Linked DNA regions of Tamandua tetradactyla. The protein of the gene in region 1 interacts with the protein of each later gene in a pairwise test. Links are inferred from orthologs where the notes say so. Each region holds a gene or a part of one and is shown on either strand. Other genes may lie near its edges. The genes, in order: CREB3, ABHD16A, CDS2 and TSPAN4.

Evidence for each region.
Region 2: the proteins of CREB3 (region 1) and ABHD16A interact in a two-hybrid assay, tested with the Homo sapiens proteins (2 studies listed by BioGRID and IntAct). The two-hybrid records come from large-scale screens. The link is inferred for Tamandua tetradactyla from reciprocal best matches to the Homo sapiens genes CREB3 and ABHD16A.
Region 3: the proteins of CREB3 (region 1) and CDS2 interact in a two-hybrid assay, tested with the Homo sapiens proteins (2 studies listed by BioGRID and IntAct). The two-hybrid records come from large-scale screens. The link is inferred for Tamandua tetradactyla from reciprocal best matches to the Homo sapiens genes CREB3 and CDS2.
Region 4: the proteins of CREB3 (region 1) and TSPAN4 interact in a two-hybrid assay, tested with the Homo sapiens proteins (2 studies listed by BioGRID and IntAct). The two-hybrid records come from large-scale screens. The link is inferred for Tamandua tetradactyla from reciprocal best matches to the Homo sapiens genes CREB3 and TSPAN4.

The regions. Positions count from the first base shown.
Region 1 is NC_135328.1:60,057,222-60,064,216, reverse strand, and holds the start of CREB3 (cyclic AMP-responsive element-binding protein 3), read left to right. Parts: upstream 1-3,992; 5' UTR 3,993-4,433; coding exon 4,434-4,592; intron 4,593-4,677; coding exon 4,678-4,849; intron 4,850-4,924; coding exon 4,925-4,992; intron 4,993-5,099; coding exon 5,100-5,189; intron 5,190-6,270; coding exon 6,271-6,377; intron 6,378-6,475; coding exon 6,476-6,544; intron 6,545-6,995. UniProt on the Homo sapiens protein: Endoplasmic reticulum (ER)-bound sequence-specific transcription factor that directly binds DNA and activates transcription. Plays a role in the unfolded protein response (UPR), promoting cell survival versus ER stress-induced apoptotic cell death.
Region 2 is NC_135331.1:87,286,187-87,294,194, reverse strand, and holds the start of ABHD16A (phosphatidylserine lipase ABHD16A), read left to right. Parts: upstream 1-5,001; 5' UTR 5,002-5,075; coding exon 5,076-5,207; intron 5,208-6,229; coding exon 6,230-6,286; intron 6,287-7,038; coding exon 7,039-7,105; intron 7,106-7,340; coding exon 7,341-7,427; intron 7,428-8,008. Other genes in the region: lymphocyte antigen 6 complex locus protein G6f-like, read right to left, coding at 954-1,109, 2,157-2,423, 2,508-2,837, 3,344-3,419. UniProt on the Homo sapiens protein: Phosphatidylserine (PS) lipase that mediates the hydrolysis of phosphatidylserine to generate lysophosphatidylserine (LPS). LPS constitutes a class of signaling lipids that regulates immunological and neurological processes.
Region 3 is NC_135327.1:55,673,676-55,680,984, forward strand, and holds the start of CDS2 (phosphatidate cytidylyltransferase 2), read right to left. Parts: upstream 3,011-7,309; 5' UTR 2,646-3,010; coding exon 2,511-2,645; intron 1-2,510. UniProt on the Homo sapiens protein: Catalyzes the conversion of phosphatidic acid (PA) to CDP-diacylglycerol (CDP-DAG), an essential intermediate in the synthesis of phosphatidylglycerol, cardiolipin and phosphatidylinositol.
Region 4 is NC_135335.1:678,592-686,475, forward strand, and holds the start of TSPAN4 (tetraspanin-4), read left to right. Parts: upstream 1-4,876; coding exon 4,877-5,182; intron 5,183-7,884. UniProt on the Homo sapiens protein: Structural component of specialized membrane microdomains known as tetraspanin-enriched microdomains (TERMs), which act as platforms for receptor clustering and signaling.

The DNA.
Region 1 (6,995 bases):
ATAACCACAAAGGGAGCCGCAGAAAGATAGGGGGTTACAGAAAGGGACAAAGGGGAAGAGAAAACTGAAGGCAGAGCCAGAAAGTAAGAGGGTTGGGGGAGTAATACTCAGTCTGTTACCAAATTTGGCCTCTGAGTCCACAACTGTGGTGGTGGTGGTGGGGGGGGGTTGTGGGTGAGACTGACATATCCGGCCTCAAGCTGCCGGAGGCTCTTTTAGAGCTGGACTGGGCAGCTGAAGGGCTGGGCCTGACCTCCCCAATACACATCCTCCCCGCATACACCCCTATCCCATGCACACTTCTCTTCCCCAAACACACCCCCATCACAGAGCTCTTTCTCACAAAGCTACCTCCATGGCGTCTCTTTGTATATCTGTTATCTCAGTCACCGAGCCCTGACTCAGATGCCACTGCAGCCATTTGATCTTTCCATAAAGACTCCATCCAATGCAAGCAACTTCCCCTCTAAATACACCCCATCTCAAGCACACAGCCCCCCTCCTCCCAACATCCTTTTTTCCTTTAGGTATACATTTTCCTTCATTCACCCAGTAAGCATTCTTCATTCACTCAGTAAGCATCCCCAATGTGGGGAAGGCCGAGGGCCAAAACTTTCAGTGGGTGGGAAGGGAGATGAGTAAGACAACAGCTTTGCCCTCTAGGAGCTCCCAGTCAAGAGGATGGATAAGTCAAGTACAGAATTACAATAAAGAGCAGGCTGTGATAAGAGCCATCTGATTAGGTTAGGGAAGGTGGATAGGAAAAGTCCCCATGAAAAAGTTGTCCTTTGAAGTTAGATTAAAAAATAATAATGATAATAAAAAATGATAACGATCTGTCATTTATTAACTATATGTTAACTGCTTTGTATACAAAATTTCATTTGATCCTTACATGTAACAACCCTGCAAGGCAGGCATCATCTCCATTTTGACAGATTATTAAACTGAGGTTCAAAGTGAAGTACTTGTTCAAAGAGCACTTGTCCAGAGTCACACAGCTAATAACTTGTAGAGCCATGATCTGAACCCAGGCTTTCTCCACTAGGCCACTGGAGATGGGTCAGGGGTAGCATTCCAGGCAGAAGGAAGAGCATATGCAAAAGTGGAGAAGCAGGAAATTGTGGAGGAGCATTCGGGGAAGTGAGCAGGTAGGCTGGTTGAAGCATGGGTGCCCGCAAGGGAGCAGTGGTGGGGAAGTTAGGGTTAGGATGGAAAGGCAGGGGAGGACAAGAGAGGATAATGAGGAGTTTTACATTCTGGAGGTTAACAGGAGGCCAGGGGAGGCTTTTGAGTAGAGAAGAGATACGATCAGGACTGGATTTTTAGGAACATAACTCTGGCAATTACCTAGGAGATTGGTTAGAGAGACACCATATTAGCAAATGTAAGTGATAATAAAGCCAAGATTAGAATGGTGGAGAGGAGGATGTCACTTTAAAGAAAGTTTAAGAGGTAGAACTGACAGGACCTGACAACAGTCTGTCCTGTCAATCTTATCAGACAAGGACTCACGGTTAGGCTGGAATTCCATAGCTTCCTGTCATTGGTAGTAGCATGAGATTAGGTAAGAAAATGGGAAGACGGAGGACAGATCAGGCTGGGCTGGGAATATGAGGATGAGGCTGTGGTTAGGGTGTATGGTTAGGCGGTGGGAAAAATGGATACGTGGTTAGTAGGCAGGTAGGGGCAGATGGGGTGTGGTCAGTGAATGCATCAATATGGGGAGGGAGAAGACTAGTGGTGATGACAATAGTAGGAAATATGAATATATGATCAGTCACTGGATCAGGCTGGGGCAAGGGGAGGAATGAATATGTGGGCAGTAGATGTCAGACTCAGAGAGAAAGATGGAGTGAGGTCAGAGGCCAGATCAGGCTAGAGAGGGTAGGGAAGAAATAAGGCTGTGGTTAGTGGCCAAATTAGGCTGGAGATGAGGGTGAAGGGACACTGGCTGTGGCTAAGAAAAGCTGGAGTTTGGGGGTGGAGTGTGGGGTATAGCCAGTGGCAGGGTCAGGCTGGGTATGGCATAGGGTTGTGGTCAGTGGCCGTGTCAGGCTGGGTGTGAAATGGGGGTGTGGTCAGTGGCCTGGCTGGGCGTGGGATCAGCAAGACCCAGTTTCCTCTTTGGGTCTCATTTCCTCTTTTCTGTTTGGGGAGTGGGGGAAGGGGATCTGCAAATGGACCAAGAAATTCAAGGAGGCTAAGAATTAAAGGATGGCACACAGCAGGGACTGGGGTGTTCAGCAGTTGCGTTGTGCTGAAAAAGGGTGGTATAGATGGAGTGGGTGAGAATGGGAGAAGAGTGCTTTAAAATGATGGGAAAGCTCAAGTTTTGGGGTGAGGGTAAAGTAAGGTCAGATGTGTGGATTAAGAAGGGGAGAGGGAAGCAGAATTAAGGTTGGGAACTTAAGTAAAATGAATAATAAGAGAGGGTTAAAGGCAAGGGAAGTATTCGTGTGAGGGAATGAAATGCAGGGCCAGGAATGACAGTTGGAGAGATTTAAAAAACATTTAGAGAATGAGAGGACAGTGAGAGGCAATGGGGTGAACTTTTGGGGGATTCAGCCATTCTCTTCACCAGGGCAACAGTGTTTCCTTGGCCGGCTTCTCCCTTAGTCACTAATCCCTTCTCCCTTAGTAGTCCCCCATTTATGATTTGGCTTTATACATTTCTTGGGCCTCTATCCCCACTCTACCTCCCTTCTTTTAAACAAAAGAGTCTAGGAACTCCAGTCCTCCAACTTTTAATGACCACAATACGAGCCCTGGTCTTAGAGGATGGGATAGAGATGCTGGAATCCTAGACACCTGCACTTCCAACTGAAGCCCAGAACTCTAGCTTGAATTTAGCCCAAGAAGCTCCCTGTGACTACAAAGGAATGAGACCTCTGCCCAAAACAAGGGCACCTACCTACCAAGAACTTCTTAAATTTCACCAGAACAAGTTCAACTACCCTGACCTCAACCATAACCGTAAAGTTGCCCCTAATTCCTAACATTAACCCCAACCCTAATTTATTTTTGATCCCCAGTACTGGCTTTGACATTCATCTCTTTCACAGCAGAGATGGTAACCCAATCCCTGATCTATAATACCGATCTGATTTTTACCTTTGGGAACCCCCTCAACCTTAACCCTAAATGTTGATCCCTAAACCTAAAGCTCATGTGTAACTTGATTCCTGACCCACTCCTTCACTGCTTATTCCTCATACCTAACCACGCCAACGATCTTTAATCCCTAAAATGTAGGTCTAACCTAATTCCCATTTGTTGACCCCTTAACTCTTAACTCTGACGTCTGCTAGCCATCCTAAAAAACAAAACCATGATCTTAATCTAAACCTTGCCTACAAACCGGACCTGACACATTAATAACTCTAAGTCTTAACTCCTAAAGCTAACCTTGAATCCTAAACCCTATGCCACTTAATACCAAACTCACCCAAAGCTTTCCTATCCACATAGCCGCTATCAACTAACCCCAAAGCCTATCCGCGCCCCGAGCTTCACTGCCAACCAAGTCCTCCCCCTCCCCCAAGCCCATCTCAGGAAAAGGACTGCTCCCAGGAAGGGCTTGGCTCCAGCAAACAGCCTACTTAGTTCTGAATCCAATGCGACATTCACTAACTGGAAGCTGACCTCTCCAAGAGGATCCGAAACAGGAGACGCAGGAAGAGTCAGCGGCCCCGCCCGCGCGCCAGCCCGCCTCCCAGGTCCAGCCTCGCGGCCCCACCCCGCCGTTCCCGCTCGGCCCCGTCCGGCCTACCTGCGCTGCCCGGCTCTGTGCCCCGCCCGCCGGCCCGCTACCCCGCTCTTTCTCCCGGTCGTTCTCGGGCTCCGGCCTCGCCCTCCCGCCGAGAGACACTCTCTCGATCACTTCCGTCCCCGGAAAGTCCCCCACCCGCGGGCGGCGCCCTGAGCCCGCGCTCTATGGTTGCGGGGACTGCAGGAAGCTGCTCTGGCGCCAGCTCTCGATGCTCGGCAGCCCGCCGAAGACGCGCAGCCCCTCCCCGGCAGGAAGCAAGGGTGCGGCGCGGTCGGACGAAAACGTCCGAACCGTGCCCAAGTTCCCTTTTAGTCTCTAACCCTTCCTTTTCTCGTTTTGGGCGAAGGCGGAGCCGGATCCCTAGAATCCCCGCCCCGTGGGTGTGAGGTGGCCAGCAGGAACGTCCGCTCTAGTTTGCATAGCCCCAGGGACGTGGCGCGGCCCCAAGGCCACTTCTGCATTGGGAGGAACTTCATGTCCCAGAATGCCATGAGGGCTATAAGCGTCACTTCTGTTGTGTTGGAAGCTGAAGAGAATCGGCTCTGGGAGGCGCGTCAGACTCTAGAGGGGAAAGCCCGGCGGAAAAGAAACCCTACGATATTTGGGGGAGGCATACTGGGCTGGAGGTTATTCCTGGGGCACGGGATTTGGGGCTGGGTAGATGGTCGAACCCCCCGTGGAAACCGATATGGACCTGGCGCTGGGCCCCGGTGACCAGGACCTGCTGGACTTCCTGCTAGAGGAAAGCGGAGATTTGGGGGCGGCGTCCGAGGAGGCCGCCGTGGAGGTTCCGGAGGAATGGGAGCTGCCACTCGCTGAGGTGGGTGAGAGTTCTGTGTCGGGGAGGCGCGGGCCGGAGGGGGAGGGGGGCATTCGTGAAGCAGAGATTTAGTAATCAGTCACAGCCCATTAATTTGAACCCTGTGCAGGTACTGAGCGAATGGGAGGTGGAGGATTTCCTGACCTCCCTGCTGAGCCCCCCACCATCGTTGAACGTTCTCAGCTTCTCCAACCTCTGTCCCGTTTACCATGATCACACCTACTCCCTCCCACAGGAATATAGCTCTGTAGATCTCGGTGAGTCTGAAATAAATGAAATTTGAGAGAGGAGAGGGCTCATGGACCTGGCTATTCTTACTTTCTTGTTTGCAGATAGTGGGAGCTGTGGAAAGAAGGGGCCCCAGATGACTCCATTGCAGGTGGAGGAGCAGGCAGAGCAGGTACTTGACTTATGGGAGGATTAATCCCAAATTGTATGGGGGGGGCAGGATTCCCCATTTTCTGACATCTTCATGCAACTCTGCTGCCCACCACCCCATAACCCCAGGAGATTGGTAGTCTGATACTGACCGATGAGGAGAAGAGGCTATTGGAGAAGGAGGGGTTTACTCTGCCTGGGACTCTTCCTCTCACTAAGGTAAGAGTCCTATAGGGAGCAAAGGCTTGTGGGGAGGGGACACTGTATGAGTGCCAAGCAGGTCAATCCTGTTAATTGTATTATCAGTAACTTGTAAAGGAACTGAGGTAAGAAATTTAGCAAATTTGTTGCTTGCAGGAAGCTGGGGCATGTAGTTAATATGCTAGAAATAAAAGCAGATGCTGATTTTGTGGGGTCTGAAGCTTATACAAATTTTGATGTTCTTTTTAAGAAAAAAATTCAAAATTATCAGTGCAACATTAGTATAAGGTCTCAGCAAAGACTGTGCCAAGTGAGGGGCCCTGAAACTTAGATATCTATGGCTTTATGGTAATCCACCTCTTGCTGAATGGTAGAATTGAGCTTTAGAATTTGACAAGGCTGAACTCAACAGTTTAACGAAAATAAATGTAAATTCTTGATTTTTAAGTTACAGGCAATGAGTGATAATTTCACAAGCACAACACTGTGATACAGTGATAAAATCAATGTTCATTGACAGAAAGATTAAGGGAATTTTAACTTCTTAAAAAAGTACAAGATGAGTCATTAACATGAAGTGGCTACTGAAAAATGAATGGGATCTGGAGACTCTATTGATAGGGGTGTTGCTCTCCTTAATTAGTGAAAGCATTTCTTAGTGTCCCGTTTGGAACCCAGATCATTGACAGTTATTAACAGGATGGAGTCCACCCTGAGGAGAGCAGGATGATGAAGAATTACACATTTTGAGCAAGTTTTACTTTTGTTTTTAACTCTGAGGAAGATTGTGAAGAAATGTCAAGTGCCAAATAGCTAAACATGGTTTATTCTACATGGTCCCAGATATCAGACACTAAAGCCCAATGGATAGAAATTAGGAGGCAGATGTTGGCTCAGGATAAGAAAGATTTTAAACTTGATCTGGGTTTGTGGGAGTATTAACATCTGACACTTGGAAGCATTCAGACAGAAGTCTAGTGCTTGTTGGTCAGGGACACTTTGGAAAAGGTTTCCTACATTGGGAAGAAGATTGAACTCATTTACTCTCTAACTCTATGGTTCCATGTTTCTCTGATGTTCCTTTCCTCTCTTCTCCCAGGTGGAGGAACAAGCTCTGAAACGAGTGCGGAGGAAGATTCGAAACAAAAAGTCTGCTCAAGAGAGTCGTAGAAAGAAGAAGATGTACGTGGGGGGTCTAGAAAGCAGGTATGAAGGGGAAAGGGACTCTGAGAGGAGTTGGGGGAGGAGAGATAGTTGGCTTTTGAAGGGAAGATACAGGCCATATGCTTGTCTTATTCCCCTAGGGTGCTGAAATGCACAGCCCAGAATCTGGAGCTAAAGAACAAAGTACAGCTCTTGGAGGAACAGAATCTGTAAGCAACCCTCCAGTATCAGTCCCTCCTCTCCTTCCCATTTAATGCTGTCTTTCCCCTGCGCCACACTTGATTTCTCACTGGGCAGCTCCCACATGTGAGGCTGGTACTTGGACTTCTCTTGGCTCTGATTCCAAGAAGCTTGCAGTAATGGGGAAATAAATTCAGAGTAACTAAGGATAAATAAGTACCAAGTAAGAGAAAGGAGGAAAGCAAGAAAGACCTCATGGGGCAGATGGCATTTAATAGGGAGTAGTATTCTGGGAGTAGTGAAAGCATTCTAGGCAGAGAGAATAAAACATAGTCCGGTTTGATTGGAACCGTAAAATGGTAGAGTTGGGACCAGAAGGTAGAGTGCAGGGAATGCCTGGTGAATATGATCTGCCTAGTTGATAGGGCATTAAAAAAAAACACTATAGGTATTTGCAAAGGAGTATAAGTCAGAGCAAGG
Region 2 (8,008 bases), on another chromosome or scaffold:
TGCATCTTTTTTCTGTGTTCTCTGTCCTTCAACACTTTTATTTTTTGCCCTATTTTATTCCATCTCTCTATCCATCTCTTACCTCTTACCCGAGTCTCGTCCCTTCCCTCTTCCTCAGTTTCCCCCATATGTACTTTGGTTCCCCCGTGACTCATTCCCCACCATTGCTTAAGTGTCTGCATTCCTGTCTCCTCTCTGTCCACCCCTATCCTTCCCCACCCTCCCCACAATCAAGACTTCCAAGAAAAATTAATACATTTAAAAAATTATAAAAAAATTTTAAAAGTCTGTTCTGCTGGCTCAGACCATCCCTTCACTGGCTGCAACAAGACAGGGGACCACACCTTTTTTTTTTTTTTACGTGATGGATAATGCTCCCTTCTCCCCCCCTCCCCAAAAGCTCAGCTGCTGGAGACCAGCTGGACTGTGAAGTCACACTCTCAGCCCCTCCCCCATCGCCAAGGTCGCTGGCGAGTCCTTCAGGTGCCAGCTGGCGAGAGAGACAGCAGGTCACACTTCCCAGCAGATGTCACTGATATCATCTGGTCTTGGGGACAGGTGGGCTGTGGGGTTTGAGAAGCAGAGAAGTGGATTGAGAATATCTTCATTCTCCACATCCTCAGAGAACAGGGCCCCATCCCCATCCCTAACCCCAGTGTTTCCTTCCCCCTCCCTGCCCCCTCTGGGATTTAGACTTCTGCCCCTTAGTTTTTCCTTACCCCAGACGGGCCAAATGAATGTTCTCATAGACCTGGATTTCGGGTTTGAACTGAGGAATCGATGCACCTGGGGAGAAGGAGCAATGCGGGGTTGGGAAGAGAAGAGAGGTCACCTAATAACACAGTTGTTCGTTCCCACCCCCTCCGTTATAGGGGGTTGGGTATGGGGCAAGAGGCGAGGGCTCTGCTCCCTGCGATGCACCCTCTTCTTCTAGGTGGTAGAGAGGGACCCACCTCTGCGCTGAACCCCCTGGACCCGCCGCCTCCAGAGCATGATGCCAAGTATCAGGATGGCAAATCCCTGGCCTGCCGCGAGCAACAGCATCAGGACCCAGGGCACATCCCAGCCCGTGGCGGGGGCACAGACGGAGGGAGAGGCCCCCACGGAGGCTGCATTAAGGGCAACACAAGAGGGATGGAGAGGGAGTCAGCGCAGGGGCCTGTCCCCGTATCCCAAAGAGAGCTCCACCCCACAGCCCGTGGCCCAGTGGCTTTTCCAACAGAAGACACCATGAACTTCCCTCCCCTCGGTGTCTAGCACTCCAGTTGGCCCTTTCTGGGCCACCCACCCTGACCCCATGAGCCAACATCAATAGACAATGGCACTGCCCCCTGCCCACTCATGGAGAGCTAACTCCAGAGAGAACCACCCGTTGTAACTGTGCTTTTTCCTTGGGCTCTTCAGAGTAAACCACCCGTTCAAGAAAAAGTAAAGCGCCTTACATTTATCCATTCTTCTTTTCATTCACTCCATCACCATTTGCTGCATACCCACCCCAGGCTGTGTACAATATTAGGTGCAAACGATGGGGAGGTGAATAAGACTCAGTCTCGTTAATTGGCCTTTGCACACTGAAATAAAGGCCATTTGCTCCTCCCTGCTGCCTTGTAAATGGATTATTCTTAGCTCAACAGCATTTCTTCCCTGTATAATGGACTTTTTTATTGCAAAACAATTATATATTTTTCCTCCTTCTGCCTTCACTAACAATGGGCCAGTATAACATCAATGCATATATCCATTCGTAAAAAGACAATTCCCCCATCAATAACTTTTTTTTTTTTTTCAATAATTCTTATTGTCTTCCTCTCTGCAGTTGAATGGTCCAACAAAAATCATAGATTATCCCATTTCTTAACCCTGGCATATTCCACTAGAATCCTTTTCCTGTCTCTTAGTTGATGGAGGTCTTTAAAATGCCCCCCGCCCCCCTGCCCCTGCCCCAGTATTTTACTGGAAAGCAGGCTTAGCCAGCTCCCTTCTCTGTTATGGATTTGGTCAGTGAGAAAAAAGCCTTCCTCCTCCAGGCAATGGTCTGCTCCATTAGAAGTCACCCCCTCTGACCTGGCCAAGGATGGATTTGGCTCCTCCCCTAGCAAGCAGGTGTAGGATATACAAGAGGCAACCCATCTTTCCCATTTCCTTCCTCAGTTTACCTGCTAGGTTAAAGCTGACTACTGCTTTGTTCTGGGGCAAGAGGCAGCGGATGATTCTTGGTCTACGGCTTCTGGGCTCAGGAAGCCCCTCCCCAGGACACACCAAAAGCAGGGCAGCCCCCTCATTCCAGAAGGACTGTATCCGGCCCTTCACACGCCCCCTTCCCTCCTGCCAGGTCACTGAGTCCAGGCGTCTGGCTGGGACCACAGAGCACAGGAGGAAAGAGCAGAGGGATCCGTTTCCAGCCCTTGCAGAAAACTGGGTGCCTGTGGGGTGAGAAGTGACCCCCTCAGTTTTTGGCCTGTGCCTCCCTAGACCCCACTTATCCCTGATCTGTAAGCCCCATTCACCTCTGAGCACAGAGACGTCGTACACTCTCCAGTTCTGGTACTTGTGGTGCTGACCCAGCACGGCACACCAGTACCGCCCGGCGTCTCCTTCCTTGGACTCCTCCAGCCGCAGAGAGTGGTTCCCCAGCAGCTTGGGCCTGGATTCTCTTCCAGGCTTCCCAGGGTCTGCGGCTGGTCTGGCAACTTGAACTTGGGTCACAAGGGTAGTAGAGGAGCCTGCTGCAGGACTGTGGAACCAGGACAGTAGTTCGTCCCCATGCAAGGTGGGTGGTGAGGGACAAGGCAGCTCCACGGCCTCCCCTAAGGCCACATAGATGACCTGCAGGTTATCTGTGGGGAGGGTGTTGTGAGAATTCAGAGACCTCTGCCAAACCAACAACCTCCCAGTTGACCTCCAACCCCTAGTCTACTGCCCTGATGGGGTTCCCAACACTGGCCTGGGTGGTGACCACATTTCTCAAGTGACAGCTACAAAAAAAGAGAGGTAGAGAGAAAAGAAAAGATAGGGCATTCCTTCCCTCACCCCAGCCATTAAGGGTTCTGAAGGCTAGAGGAAAACAATGGAATAGTTTGTAAATACCCATTGTCTCTTCCTCTCATTTCTCCTTTGCTGGAAGCATTTAGTCATCCATTTCTTATTTTCTAAAGGAAACAGTGCATGGCCATGTGCCTCACTGTTTTTAGGGCTTCCCTAATATTAGAGGCAGTGGAAGGCTAGTTGGGGTAAACTTACATTCTTGAGTCAGATGCCTCCCTACGGCCACTAAGGAAATAGAGCAGTGTCCCTTCCCCAAAACTTCAAATAGCTGAAGAACCCCCCACCTCCTGCCCCTTACCTGCAGCAGCCTGAGGGGCCCCGCACAGGAACAGAAGGAATACGACCACCATGGGGACAGCTGACCAAGTTCTCATGTCCCGGGACGTGGTATTCTCAAGGAGGAAACAGAGCCCAGATAAAGACCCACATTCCCTGGTCTGAAGTGACGTGGGTCTTGGATGGGGATGGGAATGCTGGAGAGATAAAGCACAGTTGCGTGTCCTCTGAGGGAAAAGTGACCACGGCTTCTGTCTCCTACGGGAGAAGAGGAGGAGAACCCAGCTAAGGCCACTCCACAGATGGCCTCGGCTAAGGGACTCAGCTCAAAGACTCTGTCTGCCGCCCATCAGTCTAGAAGTACATTCTGTGGTCTCTCTTCCACCACTAAGAGAAACCAGCCATGACAGGAGATGTCGAGTCTTCACGTCCACTGGACCCAGAACAGGGCTGAGTGTTCAGCTGGCGCTCTGTAAATGATTTGGAATGACTTTCCCTGGTTGATGAAATATTCCACACATGCAGAAGACTGTACTGTTTAGGAAGTGGTTAAAATCGGAAATTTTGTGTTGTATATAAGTTAGCACAAGAAAAAAAAGGCTATATAGGATACACAACCATATAATGGGTAAATAAACTGTGGTATAGTCACAAAATGGAAGGCTTGACAGTAATGAGAATAAACTAACTGCAACCACTCGCTACAAGGTTGAATCTCACAGACATGAGCGGCAAAGAAACCTGATATAAGGAGTGTGTACTGTATGCTTCCATTTATATAAAGTACAAAAATAAGCAAAAACTAATCTCTGGGGTTGGAAGGGAGGATAGTGGTTCCCTTGGGGGGTGGGAGTGACTGGTAGCGAGTTTTTAATGATCTGTTGCTCATCTGGGTGCCGGTACATGGATATATTCAATGGACGCACTTTTTTTTGTATATGTGTTTACTCCAATAAAAAGCTGAAGAGAAGATATATTATGTAGGTGTAAGATACCAAGGAAAAACAAATCTGTATATCTACTAAGAACATTACCATTTCAAAGATCTTCTGTACTGTTTTAACCACAATGTTAAATTTGCTTTTTATCCTTTGCTTCATCATTAAATTTTGTGTTTTTAATCCTATACAATAGTGGCGTGTTGTATGTTTTCTATGATTTTATTTTTTTCACTCAACATTATGGTTTTGAGATTGTCCATGCTTATGGGCCATCATTCATTCACGTCTTTTGACGACTATTCCACACCTCTTTACAATGCTGAGTCTTTCTAGGCACCACCATGGTATAGCTCTTAATTTATTCAAGGCTTCTTTAACTTCTTTCGGTAACTGTTTACAGTTTTCCTCATAAAATCTTGCATTTCTTTTATAACATTTATTTCTAGATGCCTTATCTTTTCTATCGCTCTTGTCAAGCGCTCCTATACCTAACCCCTCCTTTTCACTCTCGTTCGAAAGTTTGGCAGGTATTAAGGGACTGAAAAAAGATTTTATTATGCCTGAAAATGACTAACTTCCCGCGTGCCAACGCCTCCAACTAATTTCTGACCACGGTTGAATCCGTAGGTTGGACTGCGCGAAACTTTTCTCAAGAGAGCGGAAAACGCCTCGATTCGCTGAAAATGTCTCGATTCGCCACGAGGCGGAGCCAGTACGCGACGACGTCAAGGGCACGCTTCACCTCAGCGGCTCGGGGAGGGCGGGGCTAGCAGGGGACCTGCTGCGGGGAGAGCAGCGGCCGGGGCCTGGGCTATGGCGAAGCTGCTGAGCTGCGTCCTAGGCCCCCGGCTCTACAAAATCTACCGGGAGAGGGACTCTGAAAGGGCCCCGTCCGCCGTCCCTGAGCCTCCAACTTCAGTCACCACCCCCTCTCCCAGCTCCTGGGTGAGTCGAGTTACCCCCCTATCAAAACCATGGTACGCTCCAACCCCCCTTGCGGCCTTTGCTACTTAGACGGGCCCATTATCGGAAATAGGGGGAGCTTGTTTGTCAAGCCATTTGTCCGCAGAGTCTCCCTCTTTGTGCTTCCTGGGTTAAAATCACGTCTGTGGAGTGGCCGCCTGCCTTCTTTATTGCTCTTTGGGCACCGCTTTCTCGTTCCGACTTACACTTCTTGCTTTTTCCTCTCCGCGGCCCTCTACCCTGTCTGTTGTGGTTCATGTCCATCCAGATTGATTCCCTAAACCCTGGAAGATTGGGGAGCTGGTGGATTTTGCTGTAAAACTCCCAGTTTCTGCTTCCTCCGTGCCTTCTGGTGACTCGCCCGGCTCCAGTTTATCTTCTCTTAGGCTGGCCTTGAATTTCAAAATGACTTCTTCAACGTATCGTGTATCGGTTCCTCGCCCCTCCCTTCCCTCCCCCCTCTCCGGTCTAGCCTGGAGACCTCTGCACTCAAGAAAGCTGAGGCGTGGGCATGGTGGTAGAGTGAATCCCTAAATGTTCTCTTCCTTTATCGGTAGTCCCAAATTATGTTTACTAGCCCCTACAAACTACCCGCTCCAGTAATTCTTCCCATGATTTGTCTCTTCCCTGATCAACCTGCTCTTATTTCTCATGCTCTTTCCCCCTTAAAGTGGTTATGGTGTCTTTCCTTTGTTCTTTAATCCCTCTTCCCTGAATGCACATGTTCACAACCCATTTGAAACTGGGTTGTGGAAAGGGAAAAGGTCATCCTATGCTGCTTTCATTTTTCTTCCAAATCCATTTCTCTGCACTTGTTCTGGGTGAGAAATCAGCCTCAGGGTGGGGGTGGGAAAGAGGGACTTGAGGGTGCCAGACAAGGGACTTTGCAGTAGCAGAGAGAGTCTTGGAGGCCAGAACCAGAGGACACACACCTGGGCTTCTGAAAGGGATGCGGAAGCACTGTCAATGGGTAGGGTCCTTAACTAGCCCATCTGTTTTGGCAGGATACCTACTATCAGCCCCGTGCCCTGGAGAAACATGCTGACAGCATCCTGGCACTGGTATGTTGGCCCTGGCATCCGGGACTCTCTTGCTTTTTTTCAGACCCACCTGCCCTCTTGAACATGCTTCTCAGCCTAGAAGAAGGCAGTGGCCCTCAAGGGTGGGGGTGCTCTGGGCTCTGCAGCAGACCTCTCCAACACATACACTATACACTGTCAAATGAGCATGTTTGACGCTCCCCTTTGGTATTTAGCATTACTTTCTCTGGGGTAGCCTGAATCATAAGGTAAGCGTATTTACTCTTGGGACCATCTACAGGTGCTAAGTTCTGCAGTCCCCAGTGACCTGTCCTCCCTGGTAACTAATTTCTTTAGTTGCACAGACAGCTGTTCCCTCTGGCAAGGTTCCTATGGTGACATTTGTGCACCTTTTGGGGACGAGGCCAAGGGCTGTCCTGAGCAGGGCCAATTGAGAAAGCTTGATTAATTTGAGTAGAAGGAGAGATTGGCCTTTAAATGTGATGAAATTATGCCAGTGACAACCTGGGGAAGAAAATTGAACCTGTACCTGGTTTTGCCAGCCTCTGTTATGCTCTGACACACTGCCTTTCAACAAATATCAAATACCTACAGATGATGATGTCATGCACAGAACAGGTACCTACTATGAGTATTCCTCAGTTTACCCACAACCTTGATCAGAGCCTAGGCCTGGCAATGGCAGATCAGTGTACATGTGTGTGTACGCACGTGCTTATCCATGTGTACGCGTGTTGATGTATTGCTTGCCTTCCCTGGTCTCTCTGCTGCAGGCTTCAGTCTTCTGGTCCATCTCTTATTACTCCTCTCCCTTCGCCTTCTTCTACTTGTACAGAAAAGGTCAGTGTGGTTTCAGAGGTGATGGGGAAGGAAATGGGCAGGTTTTTTGGCAGATGTGCTGGCCCCCTAAAGAGGATAAGCCTGTGAGCATGGCTTAGCTGCCCTTTTCTAGCAGGCTTCTTCCCCTGAGGGTGTGGCTGTCCCAAAGAGAGAGCCTCAGGGGAGGTTGAGGCTGAATGAGGGAGGAGCCTGGGGACTGTGGAGAGCTTCTCACATGGTCCCATTCCCTTTCCAGGTTACTTGAGTTTGTCCAAAGTGGTACCCTTCTCTCACTATGCTGGAACATTGCTGCTACTGCTGGCAGGAGTGGCCTGCCTCCGAGGTAGGTGGAGGGGAAGCCAGGTTTGGATCTGCCTATGATTGGATGAATATTTATTAAGTACCTTCAGCAAATACAGTTTGGTGCTAGGCTGTGAGGGGGATAGCTGAGAATGGTCTAAGGCGTGATCTTTTCCTTAAAAGGCGTTAGTTGCATATATGAAGAGATAACAGAAAAATTTGCCATTGTTTAGAAAAGATGCTTTGCCCTACAACCCAATATTTCCACCCCTGTGTTATATATATATATATATATATATATATGTATGTATATACACACACACACTAGAGAAACTCCTGCGCATGTATGAAAAATATGTACGTCTGAGAATATAGCATATGGCATCGTTGGTAATAACCTTAAACTAGAACAATTCTTATGGCCATGAATAGTCGGATAATGTGGTATGGTCACACTTCAGAACACCGTGCAGCAATGCAAATGAACAAAATAAAGCCGCATCTGCCAAAGCACACAAATTTCACAAACATGTTTGGAAAGGAGCTGGCCACAAAATAATTTATTCAGTATGTTTCCATTTATATAAAGTTCAAAAGGGGCACAAATGCAAGTAGCAAGGCACT
Region 3 (7,309 bases), on another chromosome or scaffold:
GCAAACTCACTTAGTTCACACAGATCCACTATGAAGCAGATGCTATTTTATCCTACCCCCACTTTAAGGATGGACAAACTGAGATTTAAACAAGTTAAGTGATAAGTGATTTGCTCAAAGTTACATAGCTAGTAAGAGGCCGAATCCAGGCTCGAGATGGATCTGGCTGACTCTTAAGCCCCAGTTAGCTATTACCTTCAGTTAAAATTTAAAATTCCCCTTTCTAAATGGATGGAACTATTTCTGGTTTCATTTATCTAAAAAAGAAAGCATGAAACAAATAAAGTTCTAATTTAACTAGCACTGCAGTATCTAAGGAAAGAAGAAAACCTCAGAACCTTCACTATAACCTCCAAAATAAAGTCTCCAAAATTGCCCACCCAATCATAAGTTTTAAGACTGCAATCTTTTTTTTTTTTTTTTTAACATGGGCAGGCACCGGGAATCGTAGACTGCAATGTTTCATCCTTTTCTTTCCTAAGTACCTTTAGAAAAACATGATTGAGTGGGAAGAGAATCATTCCCAAAGTTTCAATTCCAAGTTCCTTAGTTTGGCAACTATACTGTACTTTGGAATTTTAAAATTATAAGCACTGTTCCCAGAAGAGACCATTTCCTTTCTTAGTAACCGGCTTTGAAACTTCTATTCTAGGATGCTAAATATAATAAAATACCTCTGACTTAAAACAAACACTTTCTCCAAATTATTTTGAAATTAATGAGTGCTTAATTACAAGACATTCTTGCCACAGTAATTAAGCAATTGTAACAATTTAAGGACTCTCTCAAATGCGTTCCAGTTCTTTTAAAGAACTGACCTGAAATTGTTCTCTGAATTCTTCTGCTATGATGTAAGTGAACTCCCATTCCACAATGCATTTCCCTAAAAAGACATCTTTTGTTTTATTACTTCTAATTGCTTTGGGTTCTACCATAAGGATATCAGCAAAGCCAGAATCATAGAAGCAGATTTTTCCCAAATTGTGAAACAGAATTAAATAGGATTTTTTAAAATTCTAATACATTTATACATCAAACGCAAATAATGCATTTTTAGGGTTCTTAAAATGTGTCATTATTAAAAACCCCACACAAGGTAACTTAGAAATGCTGAGTGATGGAGGGTTGACTGCCTTGCTTGAGGTTAATACTGTATCAGGCTTTTAATAGAATGCAGTAGAGGTTATGTTTCAGGGAACAACATCCAACCAGCGGACCTCACAACCAGAGGCGTCCTACCACTGTACAAGTGGTTTAAGTGCCAACCATAACTATCAAGACACCTTGAGCTGGACAGTTCCTCATGCCCTTCCTATCTACCTAAAACTTGGGATGATAAAGTATTTAAGAATCAACTAACACTTTATCTCTGGCAGACAGATCTAAGAAAGCCGGAACCGGCAGGCAGAAGAGAGTGCAGAAACTTTGTTTCACCTCCTATCCTAGGAGTTTTCACAATAAGTATATATATGTAGTTATTATAAATAGGTCTTTTTTGGGGGTGCGGGGGTGCATGGTCCGGGAATCAAATTCCGGTCTTCTGCATGCAAGGTGAGCATTCTACCGCTGAACCACCCGTGCACCCTATTATGGTTGGCTTTTGAAAATATAACGTAGCAGCTCTTTTATCTCTCTCTTCTCAAATCCTCTAGGCCCACGGTCTCATTAACATCAATTACAGTCTGTCACCCAGAAACTTAAACAGGCTACATGCCCTCCAGGCATCTGAATACTCACCAGTTAGACGGATGACTAGAGTCCCTTAAGGTGAGGCAGGATATTTAATCTGAAAATTAACGACTTCAAAGTACCTTGTCTCTGCAAGTGACTCCTAAATCTGCATCCCCAGCCCTAAATTCTCTCCATAGTACATTCTAAAAACCAATATGGGAAGCTCTCCTGGGATTATCCACCATCAACAATTACAAAGTGGTTTAAAACCTTGTTATCTTTCACCAAAATAAGCCCCTGACGGTGCCCACAAACTCTTCCTTATTCTTGTCAACAAGAGTCCTCCTAGTTTAACCACTGTTGGCATCCTGTCACCAAATCCTGTGCTCTCTTCCTTCCTGATGTCTAACGCCCCTTTCCTCCCGTAATCAAAAACTAAAGATTACATGTGTGCAGAGGGCCAGAGGTACGGCAACAAGGACTGATAGGAACAACTGTTCCTCAGTTTCAGCCAATTGATAACAGGTGGGAAAGTGCCTGCAGAACTTCCAATTATCCAAAATAGACAAGAAGTTCAGGTTATTGGGCGAAATCTTCTGATTATTAAAGCAACATGTGAACCAAAAACAAAAAACTGGCAAGCCCTGAGTTTAAACAGCCTCTTTCATTCTGTCCATTCTACACATCATTGCCAATTTAAGTTTTCAAATAACGCTGTCCCTGACCACTATTAACTGGAAGAGCACAAATACTAACACCAAGTCCCAACCATTACGCGGCTATTCAATGTTCTCCATAACACAACCACAGTCCACCTTTCTCAACTCCCCGACACAAACCTTACACTGCTGCTGAAGGCTCTCCTTCCGCGCCCCTCGTCCCCCGACCAGCCGTGTTCCCACCAAGATGGCCTCCTGTTTACCCTCCTCCTCCTCTACCCCAAGGCCCACGCCTGAAGCGGGAAACGAAACCATCCTTTCGGAGAATACCCTCCAACACCTGCTGACTAACGAGGGATTTTCACTACGTGACTCGAGAAACCTTCCTGCTCAGAGCCAACCGAGTTCAGTTCCAAGATTTAAATCTCCTAGAAGGCAAATCCTAAGGCATGCCTTGATCGCCCCTACGCCCCAAACAATAAAAATAATAAAATTTCAAAGGAGCAGAGAACCTAAGTCGCGCTCAGAGGAGCCGCATCCTAGAGCAGGCTTTGCGGGGTCTGAAGGTCTTCACGCCCACAAAGGCCTCTACGAGGTGGGGGAAAGGAGGGGGACCCCAGGCCGCCGTGAGGAGCAGACGGCCGAGAGCAACCCTCCCCGCGCTCCTGCTTGTGTCCGGGGATACCACGCCCCACCCCCTACAGACCCCAGAGCCGGGCCAGGGGGTCTGATCGCCCCGATCCGCTGATTCCAATGAGCGCCCCGCGGGGGCCGCGCACCACAGGCCCCTCGAAGCTGCCCAGGCCCCGGTGCCGCCGTCGGTCGCGACAAAGGGTCTGCAAGCCAGACGACCTCCCGCTCCTCCCGGCCGCGCCCCCACCCCCGCCACCGCCCCTACCTTGTCCTCGGGCGGTAAGTCCGGTTCTCTGGCGGCCCTCTGCCTCAGCTCCGTCATGCTGGACCCCGGCGCAACGCAACCGCGGGCGAGCAGCGCAGCCTCCCGGGCGGCACCTCAGCGCGAGCGCGCGCGGGCCTCGCCTCGTCCCTCCCTAGCGGTCCGCAGCTCCACAGCGACTCACAGGCCCCACCGCTACCCAGCCACGGACCCCCGAGCTCGCCCCGCCCAGCGCCGCCACCCTGTCACCCCGGCAGAGCGCGGTCGGCCTTCCCCCGCCCCGGCCGGCCCACCCCTCCTCCGGGCACGCGCACCACCGCCATCACCGCCGGGGAGATCCACCAATGGCGCGAACCCGCCAGGAAAGCTCGGCGGCGGGGACGGGGCGGGACTTAGTGGCGGGGAGAGGCGTGCATTGGACAGAAGCGTGAGGGGGCGGGGAAAGGCGTGTGTGTCCGAGGGAGACTAGCCAATGGGAACTCTGACCTGACTGGGCTAGCGGACTCTGGCTCTCTGGCCCCTGGCGATAACGGGTTATGAAGGGCAAGAGGAAATGGCCAGGAGGTTCCAGCCTGAAAGTGCTTTTCCTCGGCTTGCTGTCTTCCGTGGCCGGGGCTCTTTCCTCAAACACAGTGGGTGCTTAGTAGGCCGGGGTGGAGGGGCCAGGTGAGCCGACCTGTGTAAGAAGAGGGAGGCACGTGATAAGGCAGAGACACCCAAACTTCACGCTGCGTTGCTTTGCCAAGCCGTTGCTAGGAATAATTGAGCACTAATTATGTGCTAGGTACCGAGGATTTTACCTGGTTTATCTCATAATAATCGGCATAGTGCTTGAAAGGGGTACTATTTTCGTTTTTACAGATAAGCTCTTCCGCGGGGTATGAAATTTCTTGTTGTGTACGGTGTACTTCTTTTGACAGGAATACTGCCAACTTTGTTCACTGCTGAATCCCCTATGTGCCTGACACGTTCTGACTTGTCAACAAGTGCCAGACTTGTTGAATGGATTTTAAATTTTCCTAAAGGAAAACGATGTAGGCAAAGTCCATCGACTAGAAAATACCTGGCCAGAGCCAGAACACACTCTTTAACCATACTACTGTACTGCTTCCTTGAATTCACTGTTACTACACCCGTGCTGCCCCAACGTTGCTTTCAGCACTTCCTCTTCACTGCCTTGTCAGTAATCTCAAACAAAACAAATAGAAAATGGGATTCCTGCCCCTTAACCATATTGTAATCAACAAAGAGGAAGCTTGCACACGTACAATGCTGCAACTTCACATTAATAATTTTGGCTTGAACTGTGTGCTCTTGGGAAAGTAGTGAAAATTTCCAGATGGACATTATATTTTTCTGATTCCTACAGCAAAACAGTCCCATGTTGCTCTATCAGTGCTCTGAAGTGTTAAGTAAAATAAGTTTGGAGGAGCACTGAACTCAAGATGTGTCTTTCTATTTAACTCCTTGCACATATACTTATTTTTTTGGAGAAACAAGCCACTCCGTTCAGGCTATTATGTTGCTTTGTTTTGTCTTTCATTAATTATTTATAAAAGGAAATATACTCAACAACAGCAAGAAAAAAACAACCCAATTTTAAAAATAGACAAAAGACACAGACGCTTTTCCAAAGAGGAAATACAAGTGGCTCAAAAGTATATGAAAAGATGCTCAACTTCACTATTAGGGAAATGTGAATCAAAACCACAATGAGATACCATCTCAAACGTACTAGAACGCCATTATCAAAAAAGCAAAACTACAAGTGCTGGAGAAGATGTGAAGAAATAGGTAAACTTATTTATTGTTAGTGGGAATGTAGAATGGTGCAGCTGCTCTGGAAGGCAGGTTGGCAGTTCCTCAGGAAACTATGTATAGAATTGCCATGTGATGAAGCAATCCTATTACTAGGTACATACTCAGAAGAATTGAAAGCAGGGACACGAACAGACGTTTGCACACAAATGTTTATGGGGACATTATTCACGATTGCCAATAGATGGAAACAGCACAACAGATAAGTGGATAAACTGTGGTATATACATACGATGGAATATTACGCAGCTGAAAGACAGAATAAAGTCATGATGCACGTGACAACGTGGATGAAACTTGAGGACATTATGTCGAAAGAAATAAGTCAGAAACAAAAAGGACAAATAGTGTATGGTCTCACTAATATGAACCAACTATAATGAGCAAACTCTGAGAGAGTTAGGAACATGGGTTATCAGGAGATAGAAAGAGGGTAGAGTTTGAGCATTTTGGTGCTTAAGGAGTGCAGAATGTTTAACAAGATTGATTGTAAAGATTCAGAAATGGATAGCACAATACTGTGTGATGCTACACAATACTGTAACTATAATGAACAAAGCTGAGTGTGCATATGATTAAAAGAGGAAGGCAAGGGGTATATATGACCCGGAAGGGAAGACAGAGGATGAAAATTAGGACTGTATAACATAGCAAACCCTAGAGTGGGCAATCATGGTATTTAAAGGTATAAATATAAGAAAGTTTTTATATGAGTGAGAATAAATGTATGTCACCATTGCAAGGTGTTAAAAATAGGATAGGATGGCATAGGAAAAAAATACAATTAATGCAAACTAGGATCTATGGTTAACAGTAACACTATAATATTCTTTCATTAATTGTAACAAAGGCAATATACCAAAGCTAAATGTCAATAAGAGGGGGATATGAGGGAGGAGTATGGTATATTTTTTCTCTTCTTTCTTTGCAGAAGAAATGGAAATGTTCTCATATAGATTGTGGTGGTGAATGCAGAACTATGTAATTATACCAGGAGCCATTGATTGTACATGTAGGATGAATTGTATGGTGTGGAAATAAAACTGCTTAAAAAACTAAATAGAAAGGGCAGGCAATGCTGGCTCAGTGGCAGAGTTCTCACCTGCCATGCTGGAGACCCGGGTTCAATTCCCGGAGCATGCCCATGCAAAAAAAAAAAAAACTAAACAGAGAGATACAAGTGCTGGAGAAGAGGTGGAGAGAGAAATATACCTATTAACTGTTGTTAGAGAAGTAGAATGGAACACTCCCCTGGAGGGCAATATGGAAGAACCACAGGAGACTAAGAAAAGGCTTGCCATATGATCCTGAAATCCAGTTATGAGGTAAATACTTCAAAGAACTGAAAGCAGGTACACAAACAGACATTTGCACACTAGTGTTTATGGTGACATTATTCACGATTGCCAGTGGATGGAGGTGTTCCAAGAGTATGGTGATTGATGAGCAGAAGGGCAATGTGTGGTGTATACATACAATGGAATATTGTACGGCTGCAGAAAGGAATGAAGTTGTGAAGATGCAATGAGGTGAATGAACCCTAAGGATATTATGATGAGAAAATAAGCCAGAAACAAAAGTACGAACATGGTATGGTCTCACTAATATAAACTAACTATAATGAGCAAACTCTGATAATTAAATTTGAGAGCACAAATTATACAGAGATAGAAAGTGGACAGAGATTGGGCAATTGATAATTAAGGAGTGCAGAATGTTCAGTAAGGCTCATTGTAAAGGTTCCTAGATGGTAAGCTCTTACAGCAGTCACATTTAGTGCTGAGTTTTAGCTGTTAACTCTAAATTCTGAGATGCTGTGCTCTTTATGTGCAACCTGGTAGCTCCCTGAAACTTTGGGTATTTTTATGACACTTGGGACTTAAGAGTTCTGCGGCTCTGAAAATCGCATCACTCCATATTGCAACTGTTAAAGAAGCTAAAAAGGAGATCAGACTTCAGTTAGATATGAATGAAGCTGTACGGTTAGGACTAAGATAAATCAGAATACAGCGTAAAGGAGGCTATGTTTATATTTTAAAACTTCAAATTCTGTGTGAAACCAAAGGAAGAAATATTTATTTTGTCCAAAATTTAAATTTTCTGTAGCACACTGTGCCAGTTTGAAAATATTGTGTACCCCAGAAAAGTCATGTTCTTTAATCCTCATTCAAAATTGCTGGGTGGGATCTTTTTTATTGTTTCCATGGAGATGTGACCCACCCAATTGTGGGTAGTAACTTTTGATTAGATGGTTTCTATGGAAATG
Region 4 (7,884 bases), on another chromosome or scaffold:
TAAATCAAACATCATTCATGGCAGCAGGCACACCTCCTAGCCAACTGCAGATGTAATCAACAACAGATGAGGTTCATGTACCATTGGCTCATGTCCACAGCAACAGAACTATGTACCTTCACCTGGTCAAGTTGACAACTGACTCTAACTACCACATGTCCACCCCTTGTCAACTTGGCAACTACTTGCATCACCTTAAACAATATTAAGGTGCAAAATATTCTCTTCTGACTGTGGACCTGTGAATCTCAAAACAAGTTGTCTGGTGCCAATATGCAAAGGAGGATATTCACAGGATACAGGTTTTCATTTCCATGGGGAGAAACTAGAAGGGAAAAGACCATTGGATTTCAAAGTCTGAAAGTCATTTATCCTTCAGCTTTAGAAAGTGGCAGACCGACCCTTTCCAAGGGCCTGTGCAGTGGCCGGCCTCTTTCTGAATCAACCTCTGGGGACATTGAGGAGACCACCTCTGGGCTCCACTCTCTCCAGGCATCAAGGCCACACCTGGCTCTCTGCCATTTCCGGGGCACACGCTCAACCCCTCCATGTGGTGGCAGCCAGGCTCTCCCCAGTCCCCAAGGAGCGTGTTGTACCTTCTCCAAGGCCTGAAGCTGCACAACTCTTCCACTGCAACAAGGTGGGAGGCTCATCCTCGCCCTTCAGGGTAAACTCACCCTCTCCATGTATATGGGTGGGTCCACTCTCCTCGAGGTTTCTTGGCTTCAGACCCAAGCTTCCATGGTCCTCACTTTGCAAACTCCCCAATTTGTCCCTTTTGTGTCCCCTTTGTCCAGACTGGCAGTGGTTCCATTTACGCCAACAGTCTCTTCAAGCACTCCAGGACTTCTCCATCCTTCTCTTCTCAGTTCCTCTAAAATCTTCCCCTTAGCCATCCAAAAAACTGTTCCAACATATCTGATGTTTGCAAACTGCAGCAACACCCCACTCCTGGTACCAAATCTGTTCTAGTTTGCTAGCTGCCGGAATGCAACACACCAGAGATGGATTGGCTTTTAATAAAAGGGGATTTATTTCATTAGTTCTTCAGAGGAAAGGCAGCTAACTCTCAACTGAGGTTCTTTCTTACATGGGAAGGCACAGGGTGATCTCTGCTGGCCTTCTCTCCAGGCCTCTGGGTTCCAACAACTTTCCCCAGGGTGATTCCTTTCTGCATCTCCAAAGGCCCGGGCTGAGCTGCAAGTGCTGAGCTGTGGTATGCTGAGCTGCTTGGGCTGTGCTGTGTTGAATCTCTCATTTAAGCACCAGCCAGTTAAATCAAACATCATTCATTGCAGCAGGCACCCCTCCTAGCCGACTACAGATGTAATCAGGAACAGATGAGGTTCACATACCATTGGCTCATGGCCACAGCAACAGAACTAGGTGCCTTCACCTGGCCAAGTTGACACCTGCCTGAACCTAACTACCACAGGGGGCCTCCTCACTTTGCACGGGGGTCTCACTCGGCTCCTCACACACCTCGGTGGGCTCAGGGGTGGGCACCTCCGACCCTGCAGGAAGTGCAGGAAGCCTGCCTTGGGGTGTGGGTAGGGGATGGGACCCTAACCCACAATTAATAGAAGAAAGGGGTGGTAAACAACTGGCGACTAATGTCAAGTAACTTTACCTTAGGGGCACCCTGTGGAAGTAAATAAATGTGCTGGGAGCGAGGGGTCATTGGCCGGAGGGCAGGTGTTCTTGCTGCGTGTTACCTGGCCTTCCTTTCATCTGCCTGAGTTGTGTCTGTGTAACTATGTGTTGATAGCTGGATATTTTGTGTTAAATGGTAGATATTTTTTGCTTTCAATCTATATACAATTAGAGTTTTCATCCCCAAAATAACTGACTATGGAATAAACAGTTCAAAAGAGTAAAAAAAGTAACAGGAGGGGGTGGAGGGCTTCCTGGAGGAGGAGGAGGAGGCCAGGAGAGTGAAGGCCAGGACTGGCTGCCATCTCCGACTGCCCTGGACAGGGTGGGGCCAGGGCCCGGGATTCCTTGGGGGGTGGGGGTCCCAGGGCTGGAAGGGCACCTGGAGGCCATTCAAGTGACCAGGGGCTGACTTGGGGCCGGTGGCAGGGAGGGTCAGCTGGCCTGGCTCTCTGTTGAGTCCATGTCCCATGCGGGAGCACTGGGGTGTGAGGAGCAGGGCTGGGGGTCTGTGAGGGGTGCTGGTGGGGCTGCCCTTAAGGCTCCAGGTTGGGGGGTATGGGGTCCTGGCACTCTTTCTCTCTGCCCCTTCCTTGGGGGTGTAGGGGCTGCCTGGGGGTGCCCGTCCCTGTGTGGGTGTGCCTGTTGCTGGCAGCTTGGGGTTGGTGCTAGGCCTGGACAGCCGGAGTGGCCCCCACGCCCCGCCTGCCTGCTGCCCCTGACCCTCGGCGGTGCACCACTTCCAGGCCCTGGAGGCTCACGGAGGGCGGGGATCCCCATGTGGGATCAGGACAGCTGGGTGGCTGGGCATGTGCAGACCCTGTGGGCTCCTGGGAAGTCACCACCCCCCCGGCCCAGGGCTGGGAGTGGTAGGCACCGCCTTGGGCCCCAGGGAGCTCGGCCCCTCTCCCCACCCTGCACTCCCAGTGGTGGGAGGGAGACAGGCCAGCCCCAGGGTCAGCTGATGTGGCCTGGGCCTTGGGGAGAGGTGGGAGCATTGCAGGCTGCCTTGGGGTCCCCTGCCCAGCTGGGGGGCTGGATCCTAGGGGGTGAGTGCTGTCAGTGCCTCCTGAGTCTGCATGAGTGTGTCTGTGTGTGAGTACACGTCTCTGCACACACGTGCAGCGTGCCTCACACGTGTGCTGTGCCTTTGCAGTGTGTGACTGTGCCCCCATGTCCCTGTGGGGCGCCTGCCCCTGCTGGCATCTCAGTGGAAGGGGTGGAACTTGGCGGTGCAGCCTCCGGGAGCCACTGGCTGTGGCTGCTGTGCGCCTTGGCTGGGTGGGGGCACCTTGGCAGGGCCAGGGTCTCTGTGGGCTGCCTGGCCACTCGGAGGCTTCCAGGGGAGAGCAGCCCAGGAGGGCTGGGCAGGTGGCCGGGCATGAGGAGGGGTACGCACAGGTGGGGCCCGGGCACAGCCCACCTGGCCCTCACGGTGGGCAGCTCAGCCCCTCCCAGCCTGGGAGCCCCCCTCACCCCCACCCCGGGCACGGGCTGCCTTGGAGCCTGGGCCACATCTGTCCCCAGGGTCCCCGCCCCAGGAGGAGGGGCTCCTGCGGGCTTGTGGTGGGCTCGAGACCAAGCCCAGCCAGTGAGTCCCCCCAGCCCGAGGCTCTGCGCGAGGGCCCTGCTCCATCTGCGTCCACTCACGGTGCCTGTCTTGGGGACAGGGCCCTCTGCATGGGCTCAGGCAGGGGCTCTGGGCAGCACAGCGGGGCAAGGGGCGCCAGGGGTCCCACCCCCCCCACTGCAGCCCCCCTTCCTCAGGCCCACTACCCCCAGGGCTCAGCCCACGGCTGTGAGGGCCTCAGGGCTGGTCAGCGGTGCCTGTGGTCCCCTCCCTCCCTCCCTCCATTTTCCTTCCGTTCTCTCCCCCTGTGCTCCTCTCTGCCCCCCCCCGCCCCCCCCACCCCTGCTCCCCTCCCCTGGGGCATGCTCACACACTCGGATTCCAGCTCCCCAGCCCTCAGCCTTGTGCAGTTTCCTGAGGGGCACCCTGCCTGCCTTGGGCCCTCCCCAGGCTGGTACCAAGTCTGGGGTCTCTGCCTGAGCTCTGCACCAGGGGTCTCAGGCCCTGTCCTCTGAGGCTGGGGTGGCAGGGCTGGGTCCAGTTCCCTGGCCTGGCTCAGTCCAGTGGTCAGAAAGTGATTAACTGACACCCACCAGTCTTCCCCATGACGCTGGGTGGATCACGGTGAGGACAAAGCCTTGAGGCAGTGCTCCCCAGCCTGAGGGCGCCACGGGCGCTGGGCATCTGACCTCACAGTGCCGGTGGTGTGGGTGTCGGGGGCAGGTGCAGCCCTGGACTGGGAGCCTGGCTCAGGCCCTCACAGCAGGTATGGGGGGCACCCCTGGGAGGGTGCGGGGTCCCCCAAAAGCGGCCTCCCGCTCGGGCTGGAGTAAATGGAAATCTGGGGACCTTGTTCAAATCCTAGGACGCTGACCAAGAATCCTGGGACGCTGCCCCTTCTTCAATCCGCAATCTCCCCTACACCCTCCAAACGGGACCCTGGCCTGCTCCCTGGGGTGGGCCCCGGAGCTGTGAACCATCCGCCAGCGCCTGGACCCGGCCCAGCGTCCCGGCGCCACCCTCCAGCCCTGGCCCCCCTCGGCGGCTCTGCGCTCCCCAGCCTTCCCCAAGCACTGATCCCCCTGAGCGGGGGGACCCGGCGCTGACCCCTGTCCCTGAGCAGGGCCGGGAGTTGGGAGCTGCTGCAGAGCGTGCTCCCCCCTGGGGCCGGGCTCCCCCCTGGGCGCCGCGGCGCTGGGCTGCGGGTCTGGGGGGGCCCGCCCCTGCGTATGCCCAGCGCTTTGTCTCCGCCTGGGCCGGGGGCGGGGCGGGGCGGGGCGGGGAACCCGGCGCCTCCCCGCGCCTCCCTTGCCCTTCGGGCGCCCTGGATCCCGCGCCAGGGAGGGTGGGCCGCGCGAGGGGCGGGGCGGGGGGCGTCGCCCCGGGGCTGCGATTGGTGGAGCGGGGGCGGCTCGGCCGGGGTTTGCGGGGCGGCGGCGCGGTGGGGCGGGGGCGGAGCGGGCGCGGATTGGCCGGGCGGTGCGGAGCGCGGGGCCATCGCGGCCGGCTGGGCAGGGGTCCGGTGCCCGCCGCCCCCGGGGCCGAGCGGAGCCCGCCACTGCCGCCGCGCGGGGCCTGGGGGGCGAGGGGAGGCGCAGACGGCATGGGGCGCGGGGCGCTAGCGGGGCGCTAGCGGGCGGGAGGGCGGGCGCCATGCGCCGCTCCAGCACGGACGAGTCCGCGTACCGGCGCAGCCCGTCGCCGGACGGCCGGGAGCGGGGCTCGGCGCGCGGGGGGCCCTTCCGGCGCTGCAGCAGCCTGTCCGGGCGCGCGGGCGGCGGCTCCTGCTTCGGGACCAAGGCGGCCCCGCGCCCCCCGCCGCCCCGGGGCCCCAAGTATGTGGTCTTCTATCTGGACCTGTCCTTCATCTTCCTCCTAGAGCTGAAGCGCTGCAGCATGGCGCGCGGCTGCCTCCAGTGCGTCAAGTACCTCATGTTCGCCTTCAACCTGCTCTTCTGGGTGAGTCTGGGGCGGCGCGGGGACCGGGCGGGACGGGGGGGTGGGGGTGGGGCCGGGCCCCTGTCCCGCGTGCCCTCCCGAGCCTTTCCGGGGCGGGGTGGGGTCTCTGCCCTATGCCGCGCCCGAGATCGGGGTTCAAGCTGGGTCGGGGCCAGCACTGCCCACCCCCCGCCCCGCGGTCCCGGGCTCGGATCCCCCGGGGCTGCGCTCCCTGCGAGCCGCGAGGCTTTGGCTGCCCCAGCCGGGCTGTCTGGGGAGGGTGCGTGCACACGTGTGTGCATGCGCGTGTGCATGTAAGGCCGGGTCCCCCAGGCTGGCGAAGGTGTCGGGACCCTGAGCAGTGGCTGGAGCTGGGGGCAGGGGGCACCTGGCTTTCCTGCTGCTTCCTCCCCCAGTGTCACTTCCCCAACTTTTGCTGGGGCAGTTTGGGTTTGTTCAGATGCCAGTGGGAATGGGCTGGGATCTGGGGGCTGAGGACACGGACCTGGGAGCTGCAGAGGCATGGACACAGCTGCTCCCCCACTCCTAGCCCCATCACTGCAGGCAGGACACCCAGGTGTCACGGCTGACCAGGTGGCAGGTAGCCTTACCTGGTGTGGGTCCTGTCTAGCCGCTGTATCCCGAGAAGGGGGCTGGAGTTGGGAGAACCTCTGGGGTTGATCCTGACTCCCTGGATCAGGGTGGGTGGGGGGCCTAGTGGGGAGGGGGCGCCCATGGCCTCACCCCACCTGACAGTCCTCAGCCCACCCTCCTTCCATGCCTGGACAAGGGGCTGGCCCTGCTGCTCTCGTGCCTGGGCGCTCCTTTGCAAATGGCGGAAGCCTGGGGCCGTCCTGTACCACCCCTCCCTTCTGGGCCCCCACTCTCCTCCCCCAGCTGTGGGTGGTCGGGGTGGGGTACTGGGAAGGGCAGCCAGCCAGGCCATCCATGGGGGTGTCACCCAAGGAGACTCCCATCCCAGAGGTCCATGCCCAGAAGGGGCACTTCGGGGTTTGCTCTCTGCCAGGTGGTCCGGGAGGGGCGAGGAGTCCAGGTCAGCTGCAGTAGGCAGGGGCCGAGGCGGGCAGGGACAGCGCAGCAGGTGCCGGGGTGGTTGGAACCGAGCAGCGGGCAGGGCTTAGTGTGGGTGCGGCTGTGGGGACAGCATGACAGCTGGACGATGCCCAGGAGCTGCCGGCGACCGGCCACAGGCTGGCAGCTTGCGCTGAGGGCACCGGGCAGTGCAGGTGGCATCACGACGGGGTCGGAGCTGTGTCTGGGCAGTGGCCCTGCGCCCAGCAGTGACCTGGACACCTGTCTGGAGGGAGGAGGGAAGGGTCCCTCAAGGGGGCCTGTCTGCTCTGAGCCCCCCCAGTTGGAGTGCATGGCCTCATAAACCTGAAAAGAACAAGTCAATAGGCCCCCAGCCCTGGCCGGTGCACAGGGTGGGGCCAGGTCCGTGGGGATTGGCTGGGGGGGCTGCCCAGCGGCCCTGGAGGGGGCGCACCCTCCTTGTCCCTGTGTTCCTGCTGGGCTCGGCCCCTCCTCTCCTGTGGGTGACGGGGCGGCAGGGCTTGGAGTGGGGCTGGGCTGCTCTCCCGACCCTGCTCTGCCCCCGCACTTGTCAGGGTGTTGGGGGCGCTGGCCTGGCCCCCACTGCCCACTCAAACTAGGAACCCGGGGACGGGGTGGGGGGGGTAGAAAGGCCCGCCTGGAGTGTGGTGGCCTCAGTTTCCCCACTGGTGCTGGCGGGTCAGGGCTGGAGTGTGTTGAGACCTTGCTTGGGGACCCACAGGTGGGGACGGACCCTGCGCTCCTGGGCCCCGGCTTGGGGTCAGGGCCTAATGCCCACATGTAGCCCCCTCTACCTCCACCTGCCTCCTGGGGCCAGAGCTGGGGGGACCTGTCCTGCTTGGGGTGTGGTGGGGACCCGTGGTGCTCTCCTGGGGATGGGCCCTGGCTGTTACTAAGTGCGGGTTTGGTTGACAAGTGGCCTTGGTGGGCGGGGAAAGGTGACCGTACTGTCCAGCACGTGCTGAGGGCTGCTGTCTGCCTGGGTGGGCCGTGGAGAGGGAGGCGGCCCCGTGTCCTCGTGGCTGATGGTCAGAGCTGGGTGCCTCGAGACCAGGGGCACATTTATGTGGGTGCACGTGGGTGGTGAGGCGCAGCCCCTCAGAGCTCAGAGCCACCTGGGCCTGAGACCCCTGCAGAGCATGCAGGGGCCACAGACGGACGGATGGACATGCCTGGCCTCCCTCCTGGGAGCCCTGTGTGGCTGTGACATGGGGGGGGTCCACCTCAGGGCACAGGTGGACGCCGGGCAGTGGGAGTGTCCCCTGGGGCAGTGGTCCCAGCCTGTGGCCTGCGTGGCCCCTGCCAGTAAAGCTCTTCCTGGGCTGGGGGCTTCCACAAGGGCTGTGGCCCGTCCCCAGGGGTGGGTAGGCCATGCGGGCGTTGCAGCTGGCCAACACTGCCTCGGGTCTTGGTTTCCCGCCATATGCACCACCCTGAAAGGAGCCATCGGGCAGATGCGCAGCCTGCAGGGTCTGGGTGGGGGCCCTGGCACCCACCACCACGCAGCTGATGTCCCTGGCAAGGGGGGGGCTCTGCCATAAGCCTGGGAGGTTCCCCGAGACCCTCTGGGCAGCCCCACCCTGTGTCCGCCTCCATGGCTGATTGCGTCGCTCTGGGCCTCTGCACAGACGGTGCTGCCCCTCGGCTGT